Mus musculus: one gene and its partners. The protein of the gene in region 2 interacts with the protein of the main gene of each other region in a pairwise test. Links are inferred from orthologs where the notes say so. Each region holds a gene or a part of one and is shown on either strand. Other genes may lie near its edges.

Region 1 (3,744 bases), on a different chromosome or scaffold from region 2:
CCTCAACCTATCGGGTCCTCTCTCTAGATCAGCTCTTCCATCAGTTCCCATACATTTCCTTTTCTCTTATAACCACCAGGCTTTCCTCCCCTCCATCCATCTCTCCAGCTTTCTACTCACCTACTACTGGTCTGTCCTGATACATACTCCCATCAGTACCTCGCTGCCCCTCCCATCAGTACCATCTCCCCTCCCCTCCATCTCAGCATGCACCAACGTATGACCTATGGTCTCTTCACTTCTCTTCTTACCCCATTTCCCAACCTAGTTCAAAGCTTGTTGATCGGACACAACTTCAGCTCACTGGCTCAGCCTAGGGCTGGATAGCTGCTGCATTCCTGAAGGAGATTCCCTCTGAAGCACCATGCTGACTCCCAGGCTCATTTGTTGGCCTCTTCTTGATTAGTAGGACATAGAAATACCTTCCCATTCCCTGCTATGCTGGCTAGGATCTACATCTCTCGTTAGACCATGAGCTCCTGAAGGCTGGTTTGCCTAAGTGATAGTGTGCGTCCAAAGAAACTATGCAAGGTGAGCAGAGAGGATGCCTCAACCCATTCACCCATCTGCCCATTCCTAAGACTGACCCAACAGGGATAGCACCATCCAGCTGCCAGTCACCAGTCACCTGCTGGGGACTGCTCTGAGTCACTCCTCAGGCTGTCCTAGGGGCTTGACCTCTGACACCAGGCTCTGTAGAGGTCACACAGCAAATCAGCCCAGAACAGAGACTGGAACCTAGGGCTTCAAACCCTGTCCAAAGTTCTCCATTAGTCACATGACGAGTTCTGAGGCAGGATGGGAGGTGAGAGGGGACCCTGGGACAACTGTGGACCAACACAGTTTGCAGCTCTGACCATCAGAGTCTTAAACTGGAAGGGCTGCCCTGGCCTTTGACTGAACATTTCTGCAGGATGCTTTTTGTGGTTCTCAGACTCACGCCTTCTCACTCCCTGCAAGCCTCTTCCTGCTAACCCAGTGCTAACTTCATCTCCCCCAGCTTAGCCTGTGGGTCTTCTCCTGGAAGCTGTGGGGAATTCTTGTGGACTGTGTCCAAGCCCTGCTGACTGACTGCTGTCCCTCTCTCCCATCCACTCATTCATTCACTTATCCGTCCATTCACTCTCCGGGATGCTGCTACGGGGATGGTGCTAATGACGATACCCAGTACACAGTCAGTATTCTATAAATGGCAGCCACTGCAGGCCAACCAGATGCTCAAGGCCGAGAGAGAGAGAGAGAGAGAGAGAGAGAGAGAGAGAGAGAGAGAGAGAGAGAAGAGAGAGACAGAGAGAGAGACAGAGAGAGAGACAGAGAGAGAAAGAGAAAGTAAGTCCTTGTCCGGACTGCTTCACACTGAATTCTGCTCTTGGCCTATGTGGGTCCCTCACCTGACCTCCAGCCTATGAGAAGTTCTTACAGGCCATGGCCCCAGGCATCCCTGACTTCCCACTTCACTACTCAGGAGCCAGCACACAGAGCAGGCCACAGGAATGAACACATGTGAGACAGGAACTTGGGAGGGTCCTTGGTGCTGCTCAGGAGCCCCTCGCCCTGCGCCTGCATCTGCCACTGTGCTTGCTTTCCAGAGCCGCCCTGATTATAGTGAGCTGTGGGAAAATTAAGGGTTTGCAGGAGGCTGCCAGGCCCTGCTGCTGCCTCCCCGCCCTGCTTGTCACAGATGCCAGGCAGAGCCGTCCCCAAAGGCCACTTGCCCTACTGGGCTGCCCAGACACAGCACAGAAAAGGGGCTTCCTCCTAGAGACCTTCTCATAGCCTAGACTTGAGAGTAGCAAAGACCACTTACTCCTGGACAGTGGGGGAACTGAGGCCCAGAGAACCTAAGAGAGCATCCCATGGCCTCCAGGGGCCCAGGGTATTGGGACCTCAGGATAAGGGAATCCAGAAAGATGATGTCCCCCACATGTGCCCAGGGACTGCACTGGTGGACCAACCCTGGGCATCAGGGTTGCACACCTGCATGGCTCCTGTCTGTCTCTTGCAGCCAGCCCTTGCTCCAGGGGACCTTCCCAGCTCCCATCCTGCTCCCTCAGGAGATTCCGAGATGTCGCCCACGCAGCTCTTGCCCCAAAGGAACCTTGTTCTGATGGGGTGGGCACACACGAGGAATGAAACACCTCTAAACCAGGCAGGAAACGGAAATGCTAGGGGCAGAAATTCCCAGCCAACGTGCAGGGGCTCTGTGAGCAGGTCAGCGCCTGCAGAGTGGCCCTGCCTGCCCAGCCTCAGTTTCCTCGCCTGTCCATGGGGAGGACTGCTGGCGGCCTGCTAGGGCGGCCGGAGATGAAGGTGCCCGAGGCATGCGCGGGCCCACGCGCGGCCCACGCTCGGGAAGCGGTCCCTGGCCAGTCTCCTTCCGGCTCTGCGGCCTCTCCAGGGCCGCCCCCCGAACGGGGTGGGCTCAGCCGGGCCCCCTACACCCGCCTTCCGCAAGTCCTCAGGCCGCACGCGCAAAGCAGCCGCGGAGGCCCGGCCGCCCCGCCCCGCGCGAGGGCCCCGGGCCCCGGCGCCACCCAGGGCCGCCGCGGGCGCGCGCAGGGACCGCCCCAGCGTGGTGCCCGCCGCCCAGCCCCGCCCCGCGCCCTGCCAGCCCGGCTCTCGGGTACTCACCGCCCGGCGAAGCCGGCCCGGCCGCCGGCCACCCGTCCACATGGCCCCGGCTCTGCGCGCCCGAGCCCGCGGCCGGGGCTCCCCAGCGCCCCGCTTCCCGCAGGGAGCGCCCGCCCCCCGCCCCCGGCCCGGCTCCCCGCCAGCCCCGGCCCCGCGCAGCCGCGGCTGCTCCGGCGCTTCCCCGCGCCGCGCCGGGCAGGGCGCACGTGGTGGGCGCGGGGCGCACAGGGCGCGGAATGGCGGCGCGCGGGGTGAATGAGTCCCGCGCGCATGAATGGCGGCGGGCATGAATGGAGGAGTGTGGGGTGCAACGCCTTGTGTCCCGGGCCCTGCTTGGGGGTGGGGTACCAGCATTTAGTAGGTACCTGCTGTGTACCGGCCACTCAGGTCCCCAGGGACTGACTTGGCAGTGAGAGACAGGTCCCTGCCCTCAGGGACCTTGCAGTTTACAGACAGGACAGTGACTTCCAAGGGTGTAGTCCACTGCTCTGCCCTTCAAGTTCTGGCCGATGCCTAGCCCCCATACCTGTCATGGGTTCCTTAAACTGCAGCAGCCCCCCTATATACTTCCAAGACTGGCCTGTAAATCTCTGTCTGGGAGCTCCATAATAGTGGAGGGGCTCCTTCTTTCCAAGAAGTAATCCAAAAGGAATCATGACTTCAGGAGGGCAACTGTGACTGTGGTAGAGCATCCCTCTCTGGCCCCAGTAGCGCTCAGGACTTGTCAGGTTATTCTGGCCCTGGGTGAGACACTGGCATAGTGGTGCTGATAGTCCCAACCAAACTGGAGCACGTATGGAAGCTAACTAGCATAAGTCCCGAGAAACCAGGGTCCCCCTTCTGCCCCGGGAGCATCTTTCCAGTCTAGTAGAGTCAATCACATGGGGCCAGGAAGGATCTGGGGTGGGGGAAAAAGACAGCAGAGCCTACCTTTGGCTTCTCTCAGGGCCTGTGGGCTGAACGGTTGAGTGTTAATGGTTTCCGAGGGAGATAAGGGGATACTAGCAGCGACTACAGCACGTATGTTGACATTGTACTGTGGTAAACATACATGTCAAGAGTTAGCATTTTAATCACCTTTAAGTGTACGGTCCAGGGGCAGCGAGGACATCC
Region 2 (3,744 bases):
GACAAAGGAGAGTTAGAAAGTCAAAGAGTAGCCCGGCGTGGTGGCCCATGCCTTTAATCCCAGCACTTGGGAGGCAGAGGCAAGCGGATTTCTGAGTTTGAGGCCAGCCTGGTCTACAAAGTGAGTTCCAGGACAGCCAGGGCTATACAGAGAAACCCTGTCTCGAAAAAAAAAAAAACCAAAACAAAAACAAAACAAAAAAGAAAGTCAAAGAGTTTGAGGTCAGCCTGGGCTGCGTGAAACAGAGACACAGAGATAGGGGAACCGAGAATGAGTTAGCAGGAAGGTCGTGGGTATATTATATGAGTACCTAGTGTGCATGTGTCTCACGATTCCATCTCCAATATCACATGTAACTAGGTAACTTAGGTAGTTCTTTCAGATATGTACCCTGCTGGCTTTCTGTTCAAACCTTCTGCTTCTCCCCCTTACAAACTGAATTATGCCCACTATGCCCATTGCCCCTACTCCCTCTGATGCCAGAATCTACCTGTGGGGTTTTATCTCTGTGGAATGTTCTCTTCCTCTAGCCTAATCCTTGACCTGATGCCATCAGCTCCCCAGAGAAAGTCCACCCAGATGTCTTAGTCTTTTGTGATCACCATCTCCCCCAACGCACGCACTCATGAACGCACGCACACACATGCTCTGTAAGTTAGATCAGATATAATTGCCTTGGCCAAGATGGATAGGTCTGCCTCCCTGGGACAGATACCTTCATCCTGGCCTTGACTCGAGACTCCACATTGTCATACTTGGGTGAGCGCCACAGTGCCTTCAGTGGCTTAGGCTGACCCTGTTCCCGGCTGCGTTCCTGGTCTTGGAAGCGCCTCTGAATCTCTTTGATCCGCCTCAAGTTTTCCTTCTCATGGTCCTTTGGATTCTTCCCTGGAAGGGTGCAGGGAGGAATATTGCTAGGGACAGCCCTACCAAATGGCCATGCACCTCGGACTAGATCGAATATAGATTCACACCCTACCCTTGGCAGAAAGACCTCTCAGACAATCTGGGAGATGTCTGGTAGAAGAGAGGCCCTGGGTTCACACACACATACACACACATTTTTAAATACAACCAAGGCCTCTTCATGGAAGTTAGACATCATACCCACAGCACAGTTATCAGCTTATTCCCTTCCACAGTCACCCTCCTGGTTATCTTCTACATTTTATGATTTAGCATACCATTAATCACCGTGTATATTATACACATGGCCTGTCTTGTTCATTGCCTCCAACTGTGACTCCCATACTCCCCCCGCCAATTTTTTTTAAATTCACACATCCCAATTGTAGCCCCTCTACTCCCAGTCCTGCCTGTGCCAAATCCCCCCCCCCCCATTACCCCTTTCTCTTCTCCTCAGAGAAGGGGAAGCCTCCCTTGGATACTACCCTACCCTGGGACGACTCCCATACTTTTTAACCCCGTTTTCCTAACAGCTACAGGGTTTGGCACAAAGTAGGCACTAAGTAAACAATGCTCCATCAAGGTGTGAAAGCTTGAAGCGAGGGCTTTCTGCAGAAGGATAGACTCTGATCCTGCCAGGAGGTATTGTATTTTGCCCTTCTTTTATGCTAGAGAAACTAAGACCCAGAAAAGAACATTAACTGCATGGGCTCAAGGCAATTAAGAAGCACCCTATTTTAATCTCTGCTTTTGACCTAAGAATGCCTCAATACCCCGTCTGCAAGGACTTACTCTTAGGAGAGACCCCCGAACCGAGGGAGATGCACCCCAGTTGCAGCAGCACGTCCCCCACGCCTCGCTGGCCACGCTCTAGGATCTCTCGGGCTTCAGGCCTGATGCGAGGGCCACGAGGAGGACTGGAGTCCAGGTCCCGACCTGAAGTCAGCAGGTCCAGCTTCAACGCGTTTCCTTCCAGGCGTCCTTGGGCTGAGGAGCAAGACGCGGTGGAAAGCCGTGCTCAGGGGTGGGGCGGGGTACTCGCCCCGCCGAGGCACCCCGCAACTCACCCGAGGCCGGCCGCCGGTAGTAGTCCGGGCAGAGAGTGGGGTCTGGGGGGATGGGTCCAGAGATGCGGGACGGGCCCTCGCACATGATCCTACCGCAGCCCTGCAACAGTGCACCAGGGCCTGTTGCGCTGCGCAACTTTCCCCTCTAATCCCTGTCGGGTGCTTCCACCCTCCACCCGAGCCCTGCATCCCCGCGGTAGCCCCCATCACCGAGCCCCACCCCTCGACGACCGCCCGTCTCTAGGCGCAGACTGTACCACCGCCCCGCGACTAGCCCACTGCCCAGAGGGGTTCGCCGCCCCTCCCCCGCCAAGCCCCAGCGAGGGCTCTCACTGGAGCAGTTTTACCGCCAACTGTTGCAAGCCGGTAGGAGTTGCTGTTGCTTGGCAACAAATGGCTTCCTGAGGTCAGGGGTCAAATGACTAAGGCGAACAGCCTTCTGGGGTTTGTAGTTCCAGATGAGGAGTGATTCTAAGTCTCGGGTCTCAACAGGAGCCTTACCTCTCAACCTGTCTCCCCTACCAGCACTGAGTACCAGTCCAGCCCCGCTCTGGGCCTGAGGTTTTCTCTGATCAACTGTCGAGGGATGCACTGATTCCTCATAGCCTATGGCCTCAGAAGGGGCCAAGAGGCAGCCAGAAACCCAGAATGGGGCAGCAGTAGGGTTAGCCCAGGTTGCAGAGAGCCTTGAGGTGACTTGGGCATTTCAAAGCTCGGGAGATGGAGGGGTAGGGCAGGAGAGGTGGGACTCTAGGTAACCCAACCCTCTAACTGCCAGGCCAAGCCCTACAAGTAGAGAGGCCTAAGCTGGTTACCTTCATATTTTGTGGCCAATATGTAGTTAGGAGACACCACCACCCCCCCAACCAAGGGAGATGTACTCCAATTGCAGCAGCTTTGGGCTTTGAATAACTGATCCCCACAATACTTTGCCTGGCCATCGGCTCCCAATGACCTATGTGTATCTTCTAGTGTCCAGGAACAGAAGAGTGTCTGGTGCCGGCACATGAGACCTGCAGGAGCCCAGGCGAAGACAAGTGTCCCGTGGGGCACAGCTTAGAGCCAGAGCTCCAGGAGGAAGGAATAAAGGTGGGAGAGGAAGGGCTCAATGCAGGGGTGGAAGCAGGAGAGGAGAGAGGACCCAAGCCTACGTCATCCATCGTGAGACCAGCTCATGGGCCCAAGAGAAAGTGAGAGGGCTTTCGGAGGGAAGGGCTGGGAAGGTGGGTCTTATGCCCGGAGATTCCTAAATCCCCATTCCTTCAAGGCAGAGATTCTTGTCTTTGACCAATACCCCTCACTCCCAACTCTAGAACTTGGGGGCTGGGGGGTTGGTATGGATTTGGGACTTCTAGATCTTGCAAGGAGACTGAGCTACCATAAATGCTGAGCCTCTACTGGGCTTGGAGCTTCACTGTCTAAGAAATGGACAGCTAACTAGCTCTAGTGGACAGGCAGGGGTAAGCCCTAGGCTCAAGATATAGGAACCAAAGACTGAAGCCTGCCTCTTTCAGGCCTCTTGTCCCAGGTTTGGGTTCCCCAGCCCTCCCAGGGCCAAGCACCATGTCCATCCTAGGTCAGAAGTTGAGCTGCCACCGGGGGTGCTGCAGAAGAAGGAGGAGCCAGAAGGCAGCCACAGTGAATCCTCACTGTCCTCGAAACAGCACAAAAAAGCCAAGAAACGCAAGAGTGGCGGGGCTCCTGTGCCGCCCGCTGTGGCCAGCGCATCCGCACCCGCCGCCGAGACCTTGGGGTTGGAGCGTGAGTGGCA
Region 3 (3,744 bases), on a different chromosome or scaffold from region 2:
CTACATCGGGAGTTTGAGGTCAGCCTGGGCTTACAAACAGGACCTTGTCTCAGAAAGAGCAAAAACAAACACAAGCGACATGCTGGGTAGTGGTGGCGCATGCCTGTAATCCTAGCACTTGGGAAGCAGAGGCAGGCAGAACTCTGAGTTCCAGGCCAGCCTGGTCTACAGAGTATGTTCTAGGACAGCCAGAGCTGTCACACGGAGAAACCCTCTCTTGAAAAACCGAAACAAACAGAAAACGAACGAACAAACAAAAAAGACAAATACAAACAAATGAACAAAAAACACCAAATGTCCAGATTCACAGAAAAATTGTCATGCTGAAATCTGCTAGCCTTTGAGACCTTTAACCCAATGGTAACCATACCTACAAGGGTTGCTCTTCAATTAACTAAGGCCTCACACATCTGGAGGGATTGCTTAGTGGTGAAATGCACAGGTTTGGTTACTAGCACCCACAAGTTGGCTTACTCTGTAACTTCAATTCCAGGGGAATCTGGCACTTTTGTCTGGCCGCCAATGGCCCCAGGCCTGTACACAGTGCATGTACAAACATTCAAGCAAAACATCCATATACATAAATGAAGGTTAACCAAAAAAGATTTTAAGACTGTAAATGAAACACCCTTGATGTACAAAAGAACCACCAGGGAAATGCTTGGGTATGGAAGAATGCAAGGATTTTGTACTTTTCTCACTAAAGAGGCCTATAGGATAACCTGTTGAAGGAACCAGGCTCTTGGGGCAAAGGCCTGGACAACTAGACACATGACTTTAGGCGTAATGACTCATAAACTGGTGTCCTAACTTGGAAGGCAGGGAGGATGAAAGACCTCAGGGCTTTAGTGTGGCATTGACAATTCCAATGGACACTTTATAAGAAAATTCCAAGCATTTCTGGTGCTAAGGTCCATAGGCCCTCCTTTCGGCTCCTACAGGATTGTGTGTGTGTGCGCACAAATTATGACTCCATCAATCAAGCTATCTCGGGCAACTGGGGGCGTTGATATCTGCAAGCAATCGTTACCTAAGCAAAGGCTGACAATGGGACTGATTTCTTGGTCACAACGCCCTGTGAGAACACGCTGCAGTAAACTGCCTCTCCTAGACCAAACCCATCCATCTTAGTGAGCATGCTCAGATCTCGCTCCAGAACCCCTAAAGGATGGGCAACACTTTTGCAGCTTTCAGCCACTCTGGAAAAACAGGAGGGGCTTAAATGCAACCAAGCCAGGACCAGGAGGTGGGACTAAGCAAGGAAAAGCCTCGAACCTGGCGGTCGTGGCTGAACCGTGTGCACGCGCGCACACACTCCAAATCCCCACACTTTGGCTGCCCACAACTCACACAGCATGTAACCCTCCCCTGAACAGCAATCTACCTCTACCCTCCATGCAAACCGCTGCGGCCCTAGAGAAGGAACATCTGGCAAACTCCCGGGCCTCCTGCGCAGCGTGCAACAGGGGCGGGGAAGCTAGGCGGGGCGACTTGAAAGCAAGATGAGTGTGCTTCAGTCTGCTTAGTCCCCAACCATTTTCCGTTTTGGGTGTGTGTGTGTGTGTGTGTGTGTGTGTGTGTGTGTGTGTGTGTGTGTTTTGAGGGATTGGAGATATCAAATCCAGGACTCTTCTGAGCCTTTTCTGAGGCAATGGCTGATGTGCAGGGCATGGCCTTTTCAGATGATGTTACGGGTCCCCAGTTTCTATGCTGAAGCGCAATCCTCAGTCTGCATTCTTTACTATGCCCCCCCCCCCCCCCCCCGCACCGCAGGCTTGCTGCTTTCTCCCCCGGTCACCGCTTGCATTTGCTATGCTCCTCTGCTTTTTCGCCCCCGCCATGTTGTGAGCCCCACCTCCCAACCACAGGGGCTGCAAGCAGGGAGAACATTCTCCTTTCCTTCTGCTCCTTGCAGTGCGCGCCCTGGCGCCCAGGTCGTGGGTAAACTGAAGCATTGGTGCCGGATACTTGGTTATCCCGGAGTAGACTTTGCTGTTTCCAGGGTCACCCCTGCCCAGTTTCCAAGAGCCTTCAGGCTTGAACCTTGGCTCCCTCAACCCTCAGCTCTCACCCGAGGCCAGGGGAGCCCCAGGGCCACCTTAGCAATGCAGTGAGGCAGGTCGGGGAGAGGGGCTCTGGACTAGGGTCTGAGCCTTCGGGTCCTTGCCCGGCTATAGCTATCCGACACTCACCCTGGCGCCGAGAGAGGTCTGTCGGGCGGCTGCCGCGCGTCCATTAGCGGGTGGAGTGTCCGCTTTACTTCCGGGGCGCAGGCTCCGGGCGCCCCCCACCCCCTCGTACCCTCCCTTCTCCGTCTCCTCCTTCTGGGTCCTCTCCCTCCTTGTCCCCTCCCTCCTGATCCTGCGTTCCTCCTGCCCCGCCCCACTCCGCCCCGCCCCGCGTTGCCGGGAACTGGCATCCTCTGCCGCAGCGACCGCCCGCTCAGATCCAACTTTGCTCGGAGGTGGCGTGGCGGCGCCGGGGGGCGTGGGCAGGGAGGGAGAAAGCGGGGTCAGGAGGAGGGACCGCGAGGGGTGGGTCGCCGGTTCGCCAGCTCTCCATCCTTTCTGTGCACCTTGCGGTAGGCAGGGAGAGGCAGCCGCGGCGGCAGCAAGAGGCTAGTGCACACCCAGCTAGGGAGACTTAGGAAACCACGGACGGACGGACGAACAGACAGGACCTTCCCCAGCGCCCCCTGAGCCATGGCCGAGAGAAAGCAATCTGGAAAGGCAGCAGAGGACGAAGAGGTCCCTGCCTTTTTTAAAAACCTGGGCTCCGGCAGTCCCAAGCCGCGGCAGAAATTCTGCGGCATGTTCTGCCCTGTGGAAGGGTCCTCGGAGAACAAGACCATCGACTTCGACTCGCTTTCAGTGGGCCGGGGCTCGGGGCAAGTGGTGGCTCAGCAGCGCGATGTCGCCCACTTGGGCCCCGACCCGCACCGGCAGAGCCGGCGTGCCAGTGGGGAGCCATCTGTTGAATCGAGCCGGAAGGTGGAGATCCGGCGGGCCTCGGGCAAGGAAGCCCTGCAGAACATCTATGATCAGGTTGGTATGGGGGTGGAGGGTGGGATCGGAGCGCGGGGCTGCCCCCTGGCTTGTCGCGGAGGACCGAGCATCCCCGCGTGGCAGCCAGCACCAGCCAGCACGCGGCACCAAGAGCTCTGCCTCCCGCATCTGCACGCGCACCGCGCCCTGCCCACCCCTTCACCGCGCAGGGTGCGGCGAGGCACGGGTTCGCCAGTGGGCGTTTGAGCTCCCACAAAGGCTGCCCTAGCCTCCTTGTCCCTGGGAGGTGGGGAACCCGCGTCAGGGACCAGCTGATCCCCGGGCTGGAGGCGTCGAGTGGCGATTGGGGTGGACCACTGTGCTGTTCTTAAATCCTCCCGGGCGGCATCCGATTGCAGCTGCGGCTCAGAGCCCCACCCTTTTTTGATGCAGCTCAAAGAGAGCAGTGGAAGGCTGCAGTGAAGACTAGAGGATTCCCTTGGGGTCTGTAGGGACAAGGGCTTACATGGCTACTCAGTGTGGCAAGGTCCCCGCCTCTAGTGCGCTCAGCACCATGGTTCTGAGCTAGGAGGTCAGGACCACGGCCAGCGCCCGGAGCCTCTTACCATTGCCTGGACTGTGTTCAGCAGCCAGTGAAGAGTCCGGGAGGTTGTGATGTCACTGAGAAAAGCTAGATAGCCCATGTAGAGAACAAAGTTCTGCTAAGTGTCTCGGCAAGGGCTTCTCAGAGCGCTTCCCC

The links.
Region 1: the proteins of Enkd1 (region 2) and Begain interact in binary tests that used the Homo sapiens proteins (3 or more experiments, as listed by UniProt). The two-hybrid records come from large-scale screens. The link is inferred for Mus musculus from reciprocal best matches to the Homo sapiens genes ENKD1 and BEGAIN.
Region 3: the proteins of Enkd1 (region 2) and Pnma2 interact in binary tests that used the Homo sapiens proteins (3 or more experiments, as listed by UniProt). The two-hybrid records come from large-scale screens. The link is inferred for Mus musculus from reciprocal best matches to the Homo sapiens genes ENKD1 and PNMA2.

The regions. Positions count from the first base shown.
Region 1 is NC_000078.6:109,065,495-109,069,238, forward strand, and holds the start of Begain (brain-enriched guanylate kinase-associated protein), read right to left. Parts: upstream 2,724-3,744; 5' UTR 2,674-2,723; coding exon 2,632-2,673; intron 1-2,631. UniProt on the Homo sapiens protein: May sustain the structure of the postsynaptic density (PSD).
Region 2 is NC_000074.6:105,705,851-105,709,594, forward strand, and holds the start of Enkd1 (enkurin domain-containing protein 1), read right to left. Parts: upstream 2,359-3,744; 5' UTR 2,307-2,358; exon of another isoform or gene 2,074-2,306; 5' UTR 2,059-2,073; coding exon 1,974-2,058; intron 1,894-1,973; coding exon 1,699-1,893; intron 889-1,698; coding exon 716-888; intron 1-715. Other genes in the region: 4933405L10Rik (uncharacterized protein C16orf86 homolog), read left to right, coding at 2,582-2,665, 2,946-3,163, 3,550-3,734. UniProt on the Homo sapiens protein: Microtubule-binding protein which regulates microtubule organization and stability. Promotes the stability of astral microtubules and facilitates the proper orientation of the mitotic spindle.
Region 3 is NC_000080.6:66,909,742-66,913,485, reverse strand, and holds the start of Pnma2 (paraneoplastic antigen Ma2 homolog), read right to left. Parts: upstream 2,279-3,744; 5' UTR 2,193-2,278; intron 1-2,192. Other genes in the region: Dpysl2 (dihydropyrimidinase-related protein 2), read left to right, coding at 2,703-3,044.